Linked DNA regions of Notamacropus eugenii. The protein of the gene in region 2 purifies or fractionates together with the protein of the main gene of each other region. This does not show direct contact. Links are inferred from orthologs where the notes say so. Each region holds a gene or a part of one and is shown on either strand. Other genes may lie near its edges.

Evidence for each region. Proteins that work in one complex are often made in the same cells at the same time.
Region 1: the proteins of AMBRA1 (region 2) and BAG5 purify together in Homo sapiens (affinity purification with mass spectrometry, with the first as the bait; 3 studies listed by BioGRID). This does not show direct contact. The link is inferred for Notamacropus eugenii from reciprocal best matches to the Homo sapiens genes AMBRA1 and BAG5.

Annotation. Positions count from the first base shown.
Region 1 is NC_092872.1:349,349,281-349,356,976, forward strand, and holds the start of BAG5 (BAG family molecular chaperone regulator 5), read left to right. Parts: upstream 1-4,691; coding exon 4,692-4,897; intron 4,898-5,062; coding exon of another isoform or gene 5,063-5,080; coding exon 5,081-5,170; coding exon of another isoform or gene 5,171-5,230; intron 5,231-5,436; coding exon of another isoform or gene 5,437-5,514; intron 5,515-5,743; exon of another isoform or gene 5,744-6,074; intron 6,075-7,510; coding exon 7,511-7,696. Other genes in the region: COA8 (cytochrome c oxidase assembly factor 8), read right to left, coding at 4,510-4,884, 5,063-5,230, 5,437-5,514. UniProt on the Homo sapiens protein: Co-chaperone for HSP/HSP70 proteins. It functions as a nucleotide-exchange factor promoting the release of ADP from HSP70, thereby activating HSP70-mediated protein refolding.
Region 2 is NC_092877.1:4,222,773-4,229,763, forward strand, and holds the start of AMBRA1 (activating molecule in BECN1-regulated autophagy protein 1), read left to right. Parts: upstream 1-3,975; 5' UTR 3,976-4,078; intron 4,079-6,991. UniProt on the Homo sapiens protein: Substrate-recognition component of a DCX (DDB1-CUL4-X-box) E3 ubiquitin-protein ligase complex involved in cell cycle control and autophagy.

The DNA.
Region 1 (7,696 bases), on a different chromosome or scaffold from region 2:
ATGAAACATAGAATACAACAATCTCTAAAGAATTAAAAATGAGTATCACACAGGGATGTGGAGTGGTGCATGGTAGAAAGGACAGGAATACAGAAAGACAGTTATAAAAGATGTCATTAAAAAATTGTATGAAAAGAAGAGACAAGCTGGAGACATGGTGAGAAATGATAGGTGGACCACCATGAGGTCAAGAGAAAGTGAAGGCCACTAGTATGCTGGGTGGCATCTGCTTTAGCAAATTTATAGAAAAACACAAACAAGAGTGACAACATGGCAGAGGCATAGGATAGATTGCAATCTACATCACAAGATTGCAAATTGAGGAGACCACAGATCCATTTAAGTATTTGAGTCTGCCAGCTGAAAAAGTTAATATGACCTTTGCATTAAAAAAGGTAGTGTCAAAAAAGTGAGAGAGATCGTTTGCAGTGGTCAGACCACATCCAGAAAATTATGTTCTAGATGCTATATTTTAGAAAGGACATTCAACTCAGGCACTAAAACCCTGTGTGACTTTGGGTACTCAATCTCTCAAGATTTCTCTTTCCTTATGTGTAAAATGAGGAGAGTGGGTTGGGTGACTTCAAAGGTCCTTTCCAAATCTAAACAAGAGGCAATTAAAACCATGAAATAAAAGAATAAGTTAAAGGAACCAGTGGTGGAGGAGCCTGGAGGACAGGAGACTTAGGAAGGAGGGGAATAAATGAGGGTTGTCTTCAAGTATTTGAAGGGCTATTTCTCCCCAGGTAGAGGGATTAGGATTGTTCTGCTCGACCCCAGAGGGCAGAATTAGAGGCAATAAAGGTGGAGGCTACAGACAGGCAGGAGACAGAAGTTGCAAGGACAATGGAGGAGAAGCAAATAGGTAGGAAGAGGACCAGGAGAGCATAAGATCATGAACGCCAATCAAGAAGGTAGTGGTAAATAACAATATCAGAATCTCCAGAGAGGTCAAGAAAGACAAGGACTTAGAAATGGCCATCAGATTTAGCCGTTCAGAAATCACTGATAATCTTTAAAAGAATAGTTTCAGTAGAATGCTGAGATTAGAAGCCAGATTGTAAAGCTCTGAAGAGTGGGTGGTGAGACAGCAGTGGCATTAAGTATAGAGGTTTTTGCTTTTTTGCCATAGCATGAAAGCAAATTAGAAAAATGGATCTTCAGATCTGTGGTACAAAAAAAATGCCACTGTATCAGCCCACCTCCTCACCACACAAGTGTAATGTCTGCAAAGTAACATTATTTATGATACTTTTCCAAATAAAAATAATACTGCATAGCCTGTGTTATTCACAGACCCCGAAATTCCATTAATGTCAATTGAACAGTTAGTTATAATGTAGCTTTAACTGGTAGTTACACAGTTGGGAGGAAATATAAATAGCATCCCTTGGTTAGCATTTCGATGCTGAAGACTGTAATGACAATAGTTACATAAGGCCGTATCTACACTGTACCAAGCCACAAAATTGGGAGTTGAGGGGGCAGGGAACAGTAAATTTCTGAACCTATTTTCAAGAGTGAAACTTTGCCCCCATGCAACAAGTATGACTCCTTCAAGAAACTGGTCTGAGTTTTGCTCTTACAAAATGATGCTCCCTTTAGACTATTCAGTTACCTTGTAAATACGAATTCTTGCTCTGAAGAGGGCCCAATGAGACCTCGAGTGAAATCAGTGGAGCTCTATCACCATAACTAGAATCGTAATTCAAGGAAAACAGTCTTCTGAAAAATCAACTCATTATATAACATCCTGATGTAATAAGAGAAATAGAGGCTGAAGTGGCTATCACTCACTTTGACCTCTGCTCCAAAAAATGTTTAGTTCTAAGTTTTCAGGCAGCATAAAGCAATGGAAAACATCACTGGGTAAAGAATATGAACAAACAATATTCAAGAAAAGAAATGCCAACTACTAAGTGTAAGAAAAAAGTTCCAATTAATATGAGAAATGCACATTGGCCTAACTCTGAGCTTTCACCTTTACAACCATCAAATTGGTAAAGATGATAAAATTAACAAGTATTTATTTTACACCCATTATGTGTCACCCATTGTACTAAACACTGGAGATTCAAAGAAAAATAAAGGTCTCTATCCTCAAGATACAGCCAGTGTTGGGGAACTGGACTGTTTAGCTAGAAGGTAAGCCAATTAATAGACTTGGTAACTGTTCTGGAAATCAATTTGAAATTATTTGAGAAAAGTTACTAAGTTAATCAATATTCTTCAACTCAGATATCTCACTATAAATGACACAAAATTCCCATACATACCAAACTATTTAGGGCAGCGCTTTTTGTGGTAGTAAAAAATGAAAATGAAGTATGTATCTAATACCTGGGGAATAACAAATTGTGTTATATGAACAAATTGTGGTATATGAATGTAATGGAATATTACTGTGATGTCTCTGTACATAGGTGAGGAAATTCCCCCTACAAAAGCAGCAACTTATCCAATTTATGGCCTGGAGTTTCTTCTTGTTGCTGTTCAAGTAGTTTCAGTCCCACCTGACTCTTCCTGACCATATTTATGGTTTTCTTGGCAAAGATACTGGGATAGTCTGCCTCTCTTCCTTCTCCAGCTCTTTTTACAGATGAGGAAACTGAGGCAGACAGGGCTACACAGCTAGTTAGTGTCTGAGGCCACATTTGAACTCAGGAAGATGAGTCTTCCTGACTCCAGGTCTAGTGCTCTCTCTATCCACTGGGCTACCTAGCTGCCCAGGGTGTCAGAGATCAGGCTTGACCAAATCTTCCTGGCTTTTAAGGCCAGCTCTCTGTTCACTATCCCACACTGATTTTCCATACTGCATTTCTATACTTTATCTTCAGCAGAGTCAGTGAGCTAGTATTTTCATATGAAGGCAAAAAACAGCAACAACAACAAAAACCCAAACCCATGAGCTGTAACAGAGAAATGAAAGGTGGGGGGTGGGATGGGGATTGGGCCCTTAAAAATATCTCAGAGAGAAGACTGGAGTGAAGAAGCTACCAGTCATACTTCTTCAAAAGGGGAAGGAGGTTTCAAAACACAATGGTAAACACTGTAATATATACTCTGGTCAATTCTTTTACAGAAACATTTCATACGTCCTGATTTTCCCCTCAAACATAGAGACCTGGGATTAGCTAGCAATAAATTAGGGCAGAGATTCAAACTTCTGCCTAAATGTTAGGAATTTTCCTTTCTAGGAGCTCTTAGGTATTAAGATATAAATTCCATAAAACAACAAAGGGAGAGAAAAGACCTAAAAGAGTAAGAGACCTAAGGGATATTATATAGTCATTAGGCTAAAATTAATCACTTGTTTTTAGAATGCGGTTGATCATATCTCCAGAGAAAGCCAGTATGGAAGAAGGTTGAGCTCTGGCAAAAGATGCCATCCTAACCCCTTTTTCCCTCTCCCCCCACAAAAGACGTAGGAGAGATTTAGCTGTGCCCCCATGTATCAGGGAAGACGGGAACAGAGAGGAGGGGGTCCTGGCCAAGGGTCACTACCCACCATAACTAAGGCCCGAGTCAAACCAAGCACCGGCAGTCACCGTCCGACGGTGTTTACTCCTTGTTCTCGACCCCAAGCCAATCCGCAGGGAGCAGCTGCGGAATTCCGGGGCTCAGAGAGGAGCCGGCCTGAAGGGTCCGGAAGCGCCAGGGACAGAGAGTGCGCCGGGATTTGGGGCTCCGCCACGATGCGGGACGTCCAGGCAGCGCTTTAGGAGCTTGGGCCGCGGGAACGTGCGGCTTAGGGCGCGCACACACGACTCCATAAAACCGCATCGAGGTTCGGCGACACAGACACCAGCCGTGCCCCTCCACAGCCGCGATCAGGGCCGATGTCACCGCGCTCCCTGCAGGGCCAGGCCGGTCAGTCACTCTCTTCCGTTCCGAGTGGGGATGAGCAACAGACAGGCGTGGGGTTCAGTGACTGGCCGGCGTGCCACCTCTCACGGGCCCGGCTCAGGGACAGACACACGTCGGGGCTCCGCGACACTCTCGGCCCCTCCCCCCACCCGGCCGAGGCTCAGAGGCAGACGCACGTCGGGGCTCAGTGACTGTCTGCCCCTCCCCCACGAGGCCGGAGCGGGTGCCTCCTCTCTGCCCCTCCCCCCCGGGGGGGGGTCGCGGTTCAGTGACACGCTCCCCGCCCCTCCCCCCACCCGGCCGAGGCTCAGAGGCAGACGCACGTCGGGGCTCAGTGACTGTCTGCCCCTCCCACCACGCCGACGCTCAGTGACACCGAGACTGACAGCCGTCGGGGCTCAGTCACTCACACACTCACACACATACACACACACATATACACATACACTCACACTCACACTCACACACACACACACACACACACACATACACACACACACACGCCGAGATTCGTTGACACCCTCCCGCCGGCCCGGGCGCGGTGGCACCGCCGTCGCTCCCGCGGGTCACGGCCGGCCAGCGTACTTGCCGGGCCTTGCCACCTCGGGGGCCCCGGGCCCGCCCCGCTGACGCCCTGGTTACCCGGCTCCGCGTCGAGTCCTGGGGCTCTGGCCCTTCTTCCGAGCCGAGCCGGCGGCCGTGGCAGGAGAAGCCGCGGCGGGGCGGACGGAGGAGCCCCTGCCTCCAGCCCACCCGGGCGGCCGCCGCCATCGGCATCTCCTCGGCCCCGCCTCGGCCGCGCCGCTTTACGGCAGTCTCGTAAAATGGCGGCTGCGGAGGAGGAGCCGGAGAAGGAGCAGGAGCCCGGGAGCCGGGGGCCGACCGTGTACTCGCCCAGAGGTGACCAGCGAGCGGCGGAGGCGGCGAGGCAGGGCTCCATCTGGCCGCCGGGGCCGCCCCCGCCTGGCGATCCGGGGCAGTGCCGACGCTCGGCCTCCCGGCCGCAGGAGGACTCCTCTGGCCGCAGGGGGTGGGTCAGGCCTTCCCAGGGCGGGGGTGGGGGGCGAGGGAGGCGGAGCGGGAAAGGGGAGGAGGAAAAGGAGGGGCAGGAAGAGAAGGAGAGCTAGGCCGGGCTGCGGGGCCGGGGCCCGGGCCATGGTGGCGCTGGGACGAGTGAGGGGCGGCCGAGCCAGACGGGACGCTTTCCTTTCAGGGTCCGGCTTGAGGTGATAAGAGCCAGGGTGAAGGACTCGGCGGTGGTGACCGACTGCTCGCTGTGGCCCCTCCGGAGCGAGATAGAGGGGTATGTATCCCTCCTACCAGCCCCCACCCCCACCCCCGGACCGGGACCCCCCGCGGTGCCCTGCCGGGCCGGGACCCATCCTCAGTCTTCTCCCCACCCTTTTTTTTAAACCTTCCCTGACAGGCCATTGTCTCTTTTTGTCACCCCCCACAAACTCCCAAAGGCCAGCCCCTCTCTTTTTACTCCCTCCATGTTCCTAGAGGCCGATCCCCATTTTTTCACTCCCCCACATCCCAGGATGCCTTCCTTTTCTCAGATCCCCTCACAGGCCGGGCTCCCCTTCCCATGCCTTCGGAATCCGGGCCCCCGCTTTTTACTTCTCTACTCAGGGTGGGCCCCCCCATCCTTCCCTCCCCAAGTCTTTAGGTCTCTTAGCTTTGGGGGGCCTGGAAGGGGTGTCTCCTCACTATCGTGCCTCCCCACACAGAACCAGTTCTTTCCCCGGTGCTGCCCCCCCCCCCATGACCTCCTTCCCCATGGGAGGGAATGGGGTCATCGATTTTTAACTCACCCCTTAGGAGCGCTGCCGAGAGCCTCAGGAAGGTCCGAGGTCTCCCCTCCCCCATGGCGGACCCTATTGTGAGGTCAGGGCCAAGTCAAGGCCTGAGATCCCCTGGAAGCCAGGCAGCCCAGCCCAGGAAGCCAGGCCGTAGAAGGTGGCCGTAGTGGCCGGTCCCCTGAGCCCTGTGCTCCTTTCAGAACTAGCCGGGGCGGGGTGAAACAGGATGCAGCTTTGCGCTTTGACACCTAACCCGTAAAGGGGCTCATCCATCTTAACGTAACAACTTCTGGAAGCAGACACAGGGGCCTGGCCAATTCCAACACTGCTCAGCAATTTAACATCATTTCTTTCCTTCTGGGTAACTCGAGGAGACCATTGACGTGGTGACACCAGGAGCCCAAGGTGGGAGGTGGCACCTGGTCCAGATCCTCATTCACTTCTGCCTCCCTAAAATTTTTTAGTAATTTTATGGCCCTGCTCTCTGTAAAGCCAATAGGAAGTTTTGAAACTAGTGTTTGTGAGTGAAAGTTCAATTGGCATTAGTTATATTTAAATTAAATAGCAGCACTCTGTCCCATGTAGACCTGATTTGGAGGGAGGGGGGAAATGGCTGTCGTGGAATTTAGAACTGGAAGAGACTTTGGACTTAGATCACCTAATCTACCTCTTCTCCCTTGCATCTTATAGATGAGGAAATTGAATGAAACCCAGAGAGGGAAGTGAAATAATTTACCCAGAGTCTCAGAAATAGGTAGTAGAACCTAGGATCCAGTCCAGCTCTTCTGACTTCAGATATTGCCTGCCTTTCCACTAGTGCTGAATGTTTCAGCCTTGCCAGATTTTTAAAGATAAGGTTTTTGAGATTTTGGAGTGATGGTAGGAAGAAAATAGAAAATCTGTAGATCAGCTAATGATCCTAGGGAATAAGAATTTAGCAGAAATCTGATGTCGGTATTTGGTTTTTGTTTGGAGGGGTGGATCTTTCCTTAAATAGCCTAGTTCTTATTGTTACATTTTCTTTGTTGGGAAAAGGAGGGCAAAGGGTGATTAGATCAAAAAAGGAGTTTTACTTACCTTAAGTTCTCTTTTTTCAACCATTTAACTTTTTAGTGTTATATAAAACAAAAGGAAAGAGCAATTTGATGGCTTAAAAAAACTTTGAAGAGTAGAAACTAAAAGAGTAATGATGTTAAAAAGCTTTTTGTGACCTTTTTTAGTAAGTTGTGCCTTAGTTATTTATTACAGTTGAAGATATTTGAGATACATTGCCCCAGCACCACAGAGCAAACATGTGGCATAGAATCCAAGTCTTCTTGGTTTCTAGTCTCGGGCTCAAAGTATATAATGTAGTATATGATTATTTTTCTAATTTTATTGATTTAGGTAGTTTGGTAGGTTTTCCTCTATTCTCCTCGTGGTATGAAAATTTTCAAAGGCAAACTGGCAGGATCTGCCAAGCAGAAATAGCTTCAAATATGTGCCAGCTGACAGGCACTCTGCCTGTTACCTGAGGAACATCCTTGCTAAGTTCAGATTGTCTTCAGGGTGATGAATTTTGGGTCTTCAGCTGCTCTAGAAGATTTCTGCTTAATCATTGAGGGATTGCTATATGTTGATGAAGGAGTAGCCACATCAAAGTTATGGATCCTTGAAATGTACTCTTGTGAAATGTAGCCAGATTTAGGCAACTTTTGAAATAGAAAGCTAACATAATACTGCAATGTAAAGAATAAGTGGAAGAAATGAAATTATTTTAAAATGAATTAATGCATGACAACTATTCCTGTTCTGTAAAGACATTACACTGAAATAACTAATCACTTTTCTCATTTTTTTAGCTCTTGTGGAACTGAACCAAATAAAAGTATGGATATGGGAAATCAACATCCTTCTATTAGTAGGCTTCAGGAAATACAAAAGGAAGTGAAGAATATTGAACAACAAGTAATTGCCTTCAGTGGTCTCTCGGATGACAAGAACTATAAGAAACTGGAGAGGATTCTAACTAAACAACTTTTTGAAAT
Region 2 (6,991 bases):
CAATGCCACTTGTGCGTCAGTTATCACGATATTTCTAATAAAAGGAAATTTTTGGTTCTAAATTATCAATACAGTACTTCTGTTTCCACCTTTCATTTAGACATAACCTGAGATCAATGTGATTTGGACCATGAAATGATCTGCCTTAAGTTTCCGGTTACTAATTCATTCAAACTTTACCTAGCCAAGAGAATCTTGCCAACTAGGATAATTAGAGACTGATAGCAGTCTGGACCTTTCGAGTCAAATTTTGAAGCAGGTCTCCAGACATCTGACCAAATCTCTGTGGACCAAACCTGAATGTTATTCTCTCATTCTCCTACCTTCCCCATCCTTTTATGTAGAACATCAGAATAGATGGAGGAGGTTTGATCAAAGGAGGACTTTGCCACCTTATCCTTTCTTTCCAAAGAAATCTTATTAAAGCAATTTCCTTTGTTGCAGCCTCACGATTACTAATAGGGAAACAAGTTTGCCCACTTTGAGGAGAGCCTGTACCTGAGTGGATCAGGGTTCTTCATGTGATGGTATTGAAGCAAGGCTTGGCCTTTCCTGTCTCTGGTTTCCTAACACACAAGGCAAGAGATGAGAGGGTGAAAAGGACAATTAAGGAAACTTGGTTCCTAGCGTGGGTTCTGGAATGTGCCTGGCCTCTCCCAATGGCAGGGGCAGAGTTAAAATCCTATCTGTGAGCACCCAATGATGCACAAATTTCCCAGGTAATAAACAATCCTTAACTAAGCGCTGGCTCTAAAATTATACCAATTTAAAAATAACCTAATTGGAATAACAAACATATGAATGAGGTTCACACGCTGATGTTTTCACTAGGGACAAAAGGAGCCTTTCCTTAGGATTCTCTTTCTCCCAGATTCCTAGCAGCCGCCCATGTGTCGTCTCTGACCTGTCCTCTTGATCTGCTCCTGTCTGTGCCTCCTGTCAGGCTGTGCTCAGGAGTGTTAGTCTGGTGATTCCCAAAGCAAAGAAAGGAACAGCTGATGACAGACAGGGAAGTAAAGGGAGGTGACTCCTTATTAGGGATTAGCATCTGCTTATTTCCAGTCCGAATGCTGTTTCCCGTCATCGTGATTCCTGCTCTGCTGCTAGTGGGTGCGCTTGGTAGGAAGACAGGTAGGAGGTTGGGCATGAAGTAGATGGGGTCACGAGGGTGGTGACGTCAGGGAAGTTTCAGCTCTGTTCTCATTGTGCAATAATACTGTCCTAATGATTTTTTTCCCTGTAAAGTGTAACTGGTGTCTCTGGCCTGCTCTGGCTCTCACAAGCCACTTTTGTTACCTCTGCTCCCTACATCTAGGTTTCCCTCACTATGACCCCCTGCATCAAAAGAAGTTGGTAGTTCCTAAGGCCATGGGGGACAAAGTGGGAGTCTGTCCTGGAAAGAACCTTCTAAAGCAAAACAAGACTGTGCTAATCAAACTCAGGAAAGGGCCTGGACGGATTTCAGAGGCATTTGTACTTTTAAGTCTTACTGGCTGTCCCCCATGCTGGGCATGCTCTCCGTCCATTCTGGCTGCTGACCTCCCAGCTTCCTTTAAGTCCCAGCTAAAATTCCACCTTCTACAGGAACCATCTCCCAACCCCACTTAATTCCATGGCATTCCCTCTGTTAATTATTTCCTCTTTATCCTCTATATAGCTTGCTTTGTACATGTTTGCCCATTGACTTCCCCTTTACACAGTTAGCTCTTTGAGGGCTGGCCTGGATTGCCTTTTGCCTCTTTTTGTATGCCTAGCACTTGATTAAATGCTCAATGGATACGGAAGGGATTTAGAGACCATCCTCTCCAATCTCGTTATTTTACAGATAAAAGTGAGGAGGAATTCCCTGATTTATCCAAGATAATAGAAAAGAGTCCTCTTTTGAACCTAGGCATCTCCTCCCAACTTCAGCACCCTTTCAATCCATCAATCACTAAGCTAGGCTAAGTACTGGGGACAACCTGGTCTCAATTCTCCTGACATTTTCTTCCCCAACAATTCTTGGGATATGTTTTTTCCAACATGTAACTTTCATCTCCTTCCCAACTGTTGACTTGGGTGTAGAGGTGCCTTCTTGAGGGTTTCTCAAGAGGCACATGTGTCTGAAGAGCTAAGAATGAGGTAGAAGGGCCCACAGAAGTTGAGGGTGGGAGTGATCAGGCTGTGGGAAGGTTCCCAAGAGTCAGCCACAGCTAATTAACTCTACTTCCTTCAGCAGAGAAACTCCCAACCTGTAAAGGAGCTGAAGAGTATTGAAGGCTTTGCCCTTTAAAGAATGCAAAAGGCTAGCCCTCTGTAGACTGATCAGTCAAAACCTGAAAACAAATAATGATCCTGGAACTCATTACAATGAATCACAGTCTGAAAGATAATGTGTAATTATGTAGCAAACATGTTTCTGAACATGAACAAGAATATTGAAATCCTGGATCTCAGGAGAGACATTTCATGCTTCCCAGAAGGGGCTGGAGGAAAAGACTTGGAGGTGCCTGGGAACTCGGAGGTTCCAGGATTCTCTGAACAGGACAGTTCCCTCCGATCCTCGCTACATGACTGGGGCCAGGGCAGGCGTTTTGTATTGTGATTTTTTCACTGAATGTTATTTCATGTGAAAATGTCCACTCTCTGCCCTACTGGTCCATATGTTTGTTATTTTTACGGGACGTGTGTGCGTCCCCCACATGTCATCACCCTCAGTATACCCTGGTTTCCCTCGCTCTGGCTTGTTGCCAGTCACTCTGCTGCCAGGCTCCCTGCCATCCTGGAGGAATCAGGAGCTCCTTGAGGGCAGGGGTTGCGACTCTACCCTTGGCCCGGTTCGCGTTCGGGGGACGTCCCGTGCTGAATCGGAAATCGCAGGGAGCTGTGCCCAGCACCAGAGAAAGGAGGAGGAGGCACCCCCGGGAGGCTGGGGAGACTCGGCGGCACCCGGAGAGAGCTTCTGTACTCCGCCCCGAAGCATCGGTGGCTTTGGGAACCACAGCGATGGGCGCGCTGGGTACCCTGCGCCCCACCGAAGCCTGGGGAGGACCAGGAGGTCCGCGGCGGCCTCTCCGCACCCGGGCTGGGGCGCAGCCCGTGCTCTGGTCCTCCTGCTGGGGCGGGATGCGCTGCCCACGGGGGGCGGGGGGGGCTGTCCACGGAGAGGGAGCCCGCTGCCCACAGGGGGCGGGGGCGCTGCCCGCGGAGAGGGAGTCCGCTGCCCACGGGGGGCGGGGGCGCTGCCCACGGAGAGGGAGTCCGCTGCCCACGGCGGGGAGTCCGCTGCCCACGGGGGGCGGGGGGCGCTGCCCGCGGAGAGGGAGTCCGCTGCCCACGGGGGGCGGGGGGCGCTGCCCGCGGAGGGGGAGTCCGCTGCCCACGGGGGGCGGGGGGCGTTGCCCACGGCGGGGAGTCCGCTGCCCACGGGGGGCGGGGGGCGCTGCCCACGGCGGGGAGTCCGCTGTCCACGGGGAGCGGGGGCGCTCTCCACAGAGGGGTTCTGCTGTCCACGGGGGGTCCGCCGTCCCCGGTTTCGGACTCTGGCCGCGGACTGGTCAGTTCCTCTGACTTTTTCCTGCTCTCCCTTTGGTCATTTGCATGACTCCGAGGGGATGCCGAGGAACAAACTGCATCCATAAAAGTTATTTTTCTAGGAGTCTCCCTCGGAAGTCTGGCCGCGATCAGAGGAATGAGGAGGGTTGGAGCTCCCGCCCGGGTGCCATCCATGGCGCCTGGGCTCGGCTGCTCGGGCCTGGAAGCGCTCGGAGCTCGGCGCGCGCTGTCTGGCCGGACGCCGGGCGCTCCCGGCTCGGCGCTCGGCTGCGCGGCCTGCTCGCTCGATGTCTCCGCAGCAGCGGCAGCGGCGGCGGCGGCGACGGCGGCGGCGGCGGCGGCGGCGGCCGGGGCCGGACCAGGGTTGAAGGCTCGGCCGCGTCCCCGCGCTCAGACCCCTCCCCCCCGCCGCGCGCTCCCCCCGCCGCGCGCCCCCGCGCCCGCCCCTCCCCTCCCCCGCCGCCCGCCGGCCGGCTCGCGAGCCCAGGCCCGGCCGTCGCCGCCGCCGTCGCCGCCGCCGCCGTCCGCCCTCCGAGGGAGGCAGGTAGGTAGGCCCCGGGCGAGGGCGCGGGCCCGGGCGGGCGGCCGCCTCTCTGTTCCCTCCCCGGTAACGTCGAGGGAGCGGGGGAGGGGGGCCGAGCGACGGCCGAGGGCCTTTCAGCCCCAGCTCCGTTCCCGGGGAAACTGAGGCCCCGAGGGAGGGCGGGGTCGCCCCGAGTCTGCCCCGGGGCCTGCGGGCCTTCGCCCCGGCCGGCCTCGGCTCCGGCCGCGTGCTCTGCGCTGCCAGCCGGGAGGCCGCAGGCCCGTGACTGGGGGCAGGGGGGCGTCTCGGCCCTTCGGTGCCCGGCGACCCCCCATCGCCGCGGCCTCGGTGGGGGGAGGGGGCCTTCCCGGGGGGCCGGCAGCCACGTGCTCCCGGAGAGCTTCGGGCACCGCGGGGCTCTGGGCCGAGGTTGGCACGCTCCGGATCCGGATCTGGATCCGGATCATCTTCCTGTAGACGGAGCTGTGAGAGGCCCCGGGAGAGGTCTTGGGGAGAAGGAAGGGGCGGGGGGCCGTTTTGGTTGTCTGAGACCGGGCCCCCGCGGCAGGCAGGGCGCGGGGGCCCCCCAGTCGGGGGGTGGCCGCACAGCAGGAGGCAGCCGGGCCGAGGATGGCGGCTGGCGCGGGGTGCTGGGGGTGCCGCTGAGGGGGATCTCCGGAGGGGTGTCGTTGGAGTAACGGCGGCAGACGGCCCGGGGTCCGGTGCGCACCGGGAGTGAGTCTAGCTTACTTTGCCGGCGTAGCTGGCGTCTGTCTGTCCGGGGCTGAGGGCGCTGCTCTGGGGCCTCCCGGGGGGGTTGGGGGGCTTCGGGGTCCGGTGCGGGCAGAGGCGGTGCCCCCGTGTGAGCGCCCGCTCCGGAGGGGCCTGGGACTCCCCACAGAGCTGCGGGGCAGGGGCTTCTGCCTCGGCCCCCAGACTGCGGAAGGAAGCGAAGTGCCTGTCCGGTCGGTCCGTCCGGTCCGGTCCGCCCGGTGCCGGTCCTCCGGGCCTCGGCTTCCTTCTCTGGGCACTGAGCGGTCCGGGGATTCCCGCAGCCTGCAGCCCCGCCTCCGGGCACTGTGCTAAGCCGGCCGTTCCCCCTGGAGGCCAGAAGCCGCTTCAGCCGGCCCTGCCCCGGAGCGCCGTGGGGCAGGGCTGTCACGGCCCGGGCAGCGCGCGTCTGTCCCGAGGCTCTTCCGTTCCCCCAGACTCGGGATCCTCGTCCTGTTCCTCGCTCTTGTTCGGGGGCTGTCCCGCGCTCTGACGTCATCCTCTGGGACTTGGGGGGGCTAGCTGCTTCCTCCAGGCCTTCCACGCCTTCTGACCCGGCTTGCCGTGAAGTCGGGGTCAGTTCTGGAGGGCAGGCAGCAGGTGTGGACGGTCCGCCTGCCCCTGGACCTTGAGGTCTGCGGGCCTGAGCGGTGGGACGCCCCAGCGAGCCCGCTAACCCTGACGCTCCGTTGTCCGAGGCGGTGGGAGCTGAAGGCTGCGGCCTGGGGAGGGCCCGGGGCCGGCCGTGCCATCTGCGATCCGACCGGCCTTAGCAGGCTGCCCTGTCGGCCCGGCTTCCAGGGACGGGGACATCTCCAGCCGCGTCCGTCATTGAACTCCCCTGCCTCGATAGCGCTCTCTGTCACCTGGGCCAGTCCGCAGAGAGCCGGCTGGAGGCTGAGTCTGGGCAGGCTGCTGGACCTCAGTTCCCCTGTTTGTGGGATGGACGTGAAGGCAGTGCCCGCCTCCGAGACGAGGCGGGTGAGGACCACTCTGCCAGCCCCGGTGCACTGAGTCATCGTTTCCGTGTAGACGATGCTCAGCTCTGCACACCCTTCCTCAGCCTCTCTGCTGGCTTCCTGCCTTGTGCCTGCCCCTGCCTGCTGCTCTGGGATGGGCATCTTCACCCCCTCTCTGTCACCGATAGGCCCCGGCGGTGCCCTCCAGTCCTGTGGTCTCTCCCCTCTCCCTCCACGCGCTGCGGATCTTACCCTCCGGTGGGCTTCCCTTCGTGCGCACCCTCCCTTCTCCCAGGTGGTAGTCCCGGCTCCGGCTCTCATCCCCGCAGCTCTTGGCCGCCTCCTGAGCTGTCAGCCCTGTTTTCCCAAAGGATGGGTCTCCTGGTGACACCCCTCCATAGGGAAGCCTCCTTCCAACCTCCTGACCTCCCCCACCCTCTCTGCCGGCTCTTTGCAGTTTCCCGGACTGTGTCCGCGCTCCGCACCCCGACCTCCTGGCTTCTCTGGATTCCTTTCAGTTTCTGCAGGAAGTTCTTCCCAGTCCTCCTTAATCCTTGCGCCTTCCTTTGGAGTTCGCCTCTCAGTCTATCTCGGACTCAGTGTTGTCTGCCCCCAGAGAGGCTTCCCTCGAGAAGGAGGATCGTTTTTGCCTTCCTCTGTATCCCCCACAGCGCCTGGCACCCAGTAGATGCTTAATAGATGTTGGTTGACCTGGCATCTCCCCAGAGGAGACGTACAGATACATAGATAGGTCCGTGCAAAGCAGATACAGAAGAGACTGGAGGCAGCTTTGGAGACTGAGGACGAAGAAGCACTTCCTACAGAAGGTTCGGCTTGAACTGAGTTCTGAAGGCAAATAGGGATTCTCAGAGGCAGAGACAAGAAGAGAACACATGCCGGGCATGGGGGACAGCTGATGGACGTTAAAGTGGTGGGGGGCAGGGTGATATTTGAGGAGAAGTAAGAGGGCCAGTCTGGTTGGACCCTGGAGAGGGAGAAGAGGAGCAATAGGCAATAATTCCGGAAAGGAGTTTTGAATACCAGACTGAATCTTCTGTTTGATCTTGAAGTGATGAAAAACCACAGGATTTTATTGAGTAGGGGAGTAACATGGTGAGACCTACGCTTTAAGAAAATCTCTTTGGCAGCTGTGGAGGGTGGTGGATTATAATAGGGAAAGATTGAGGCAGGCTGATCTAAGGAG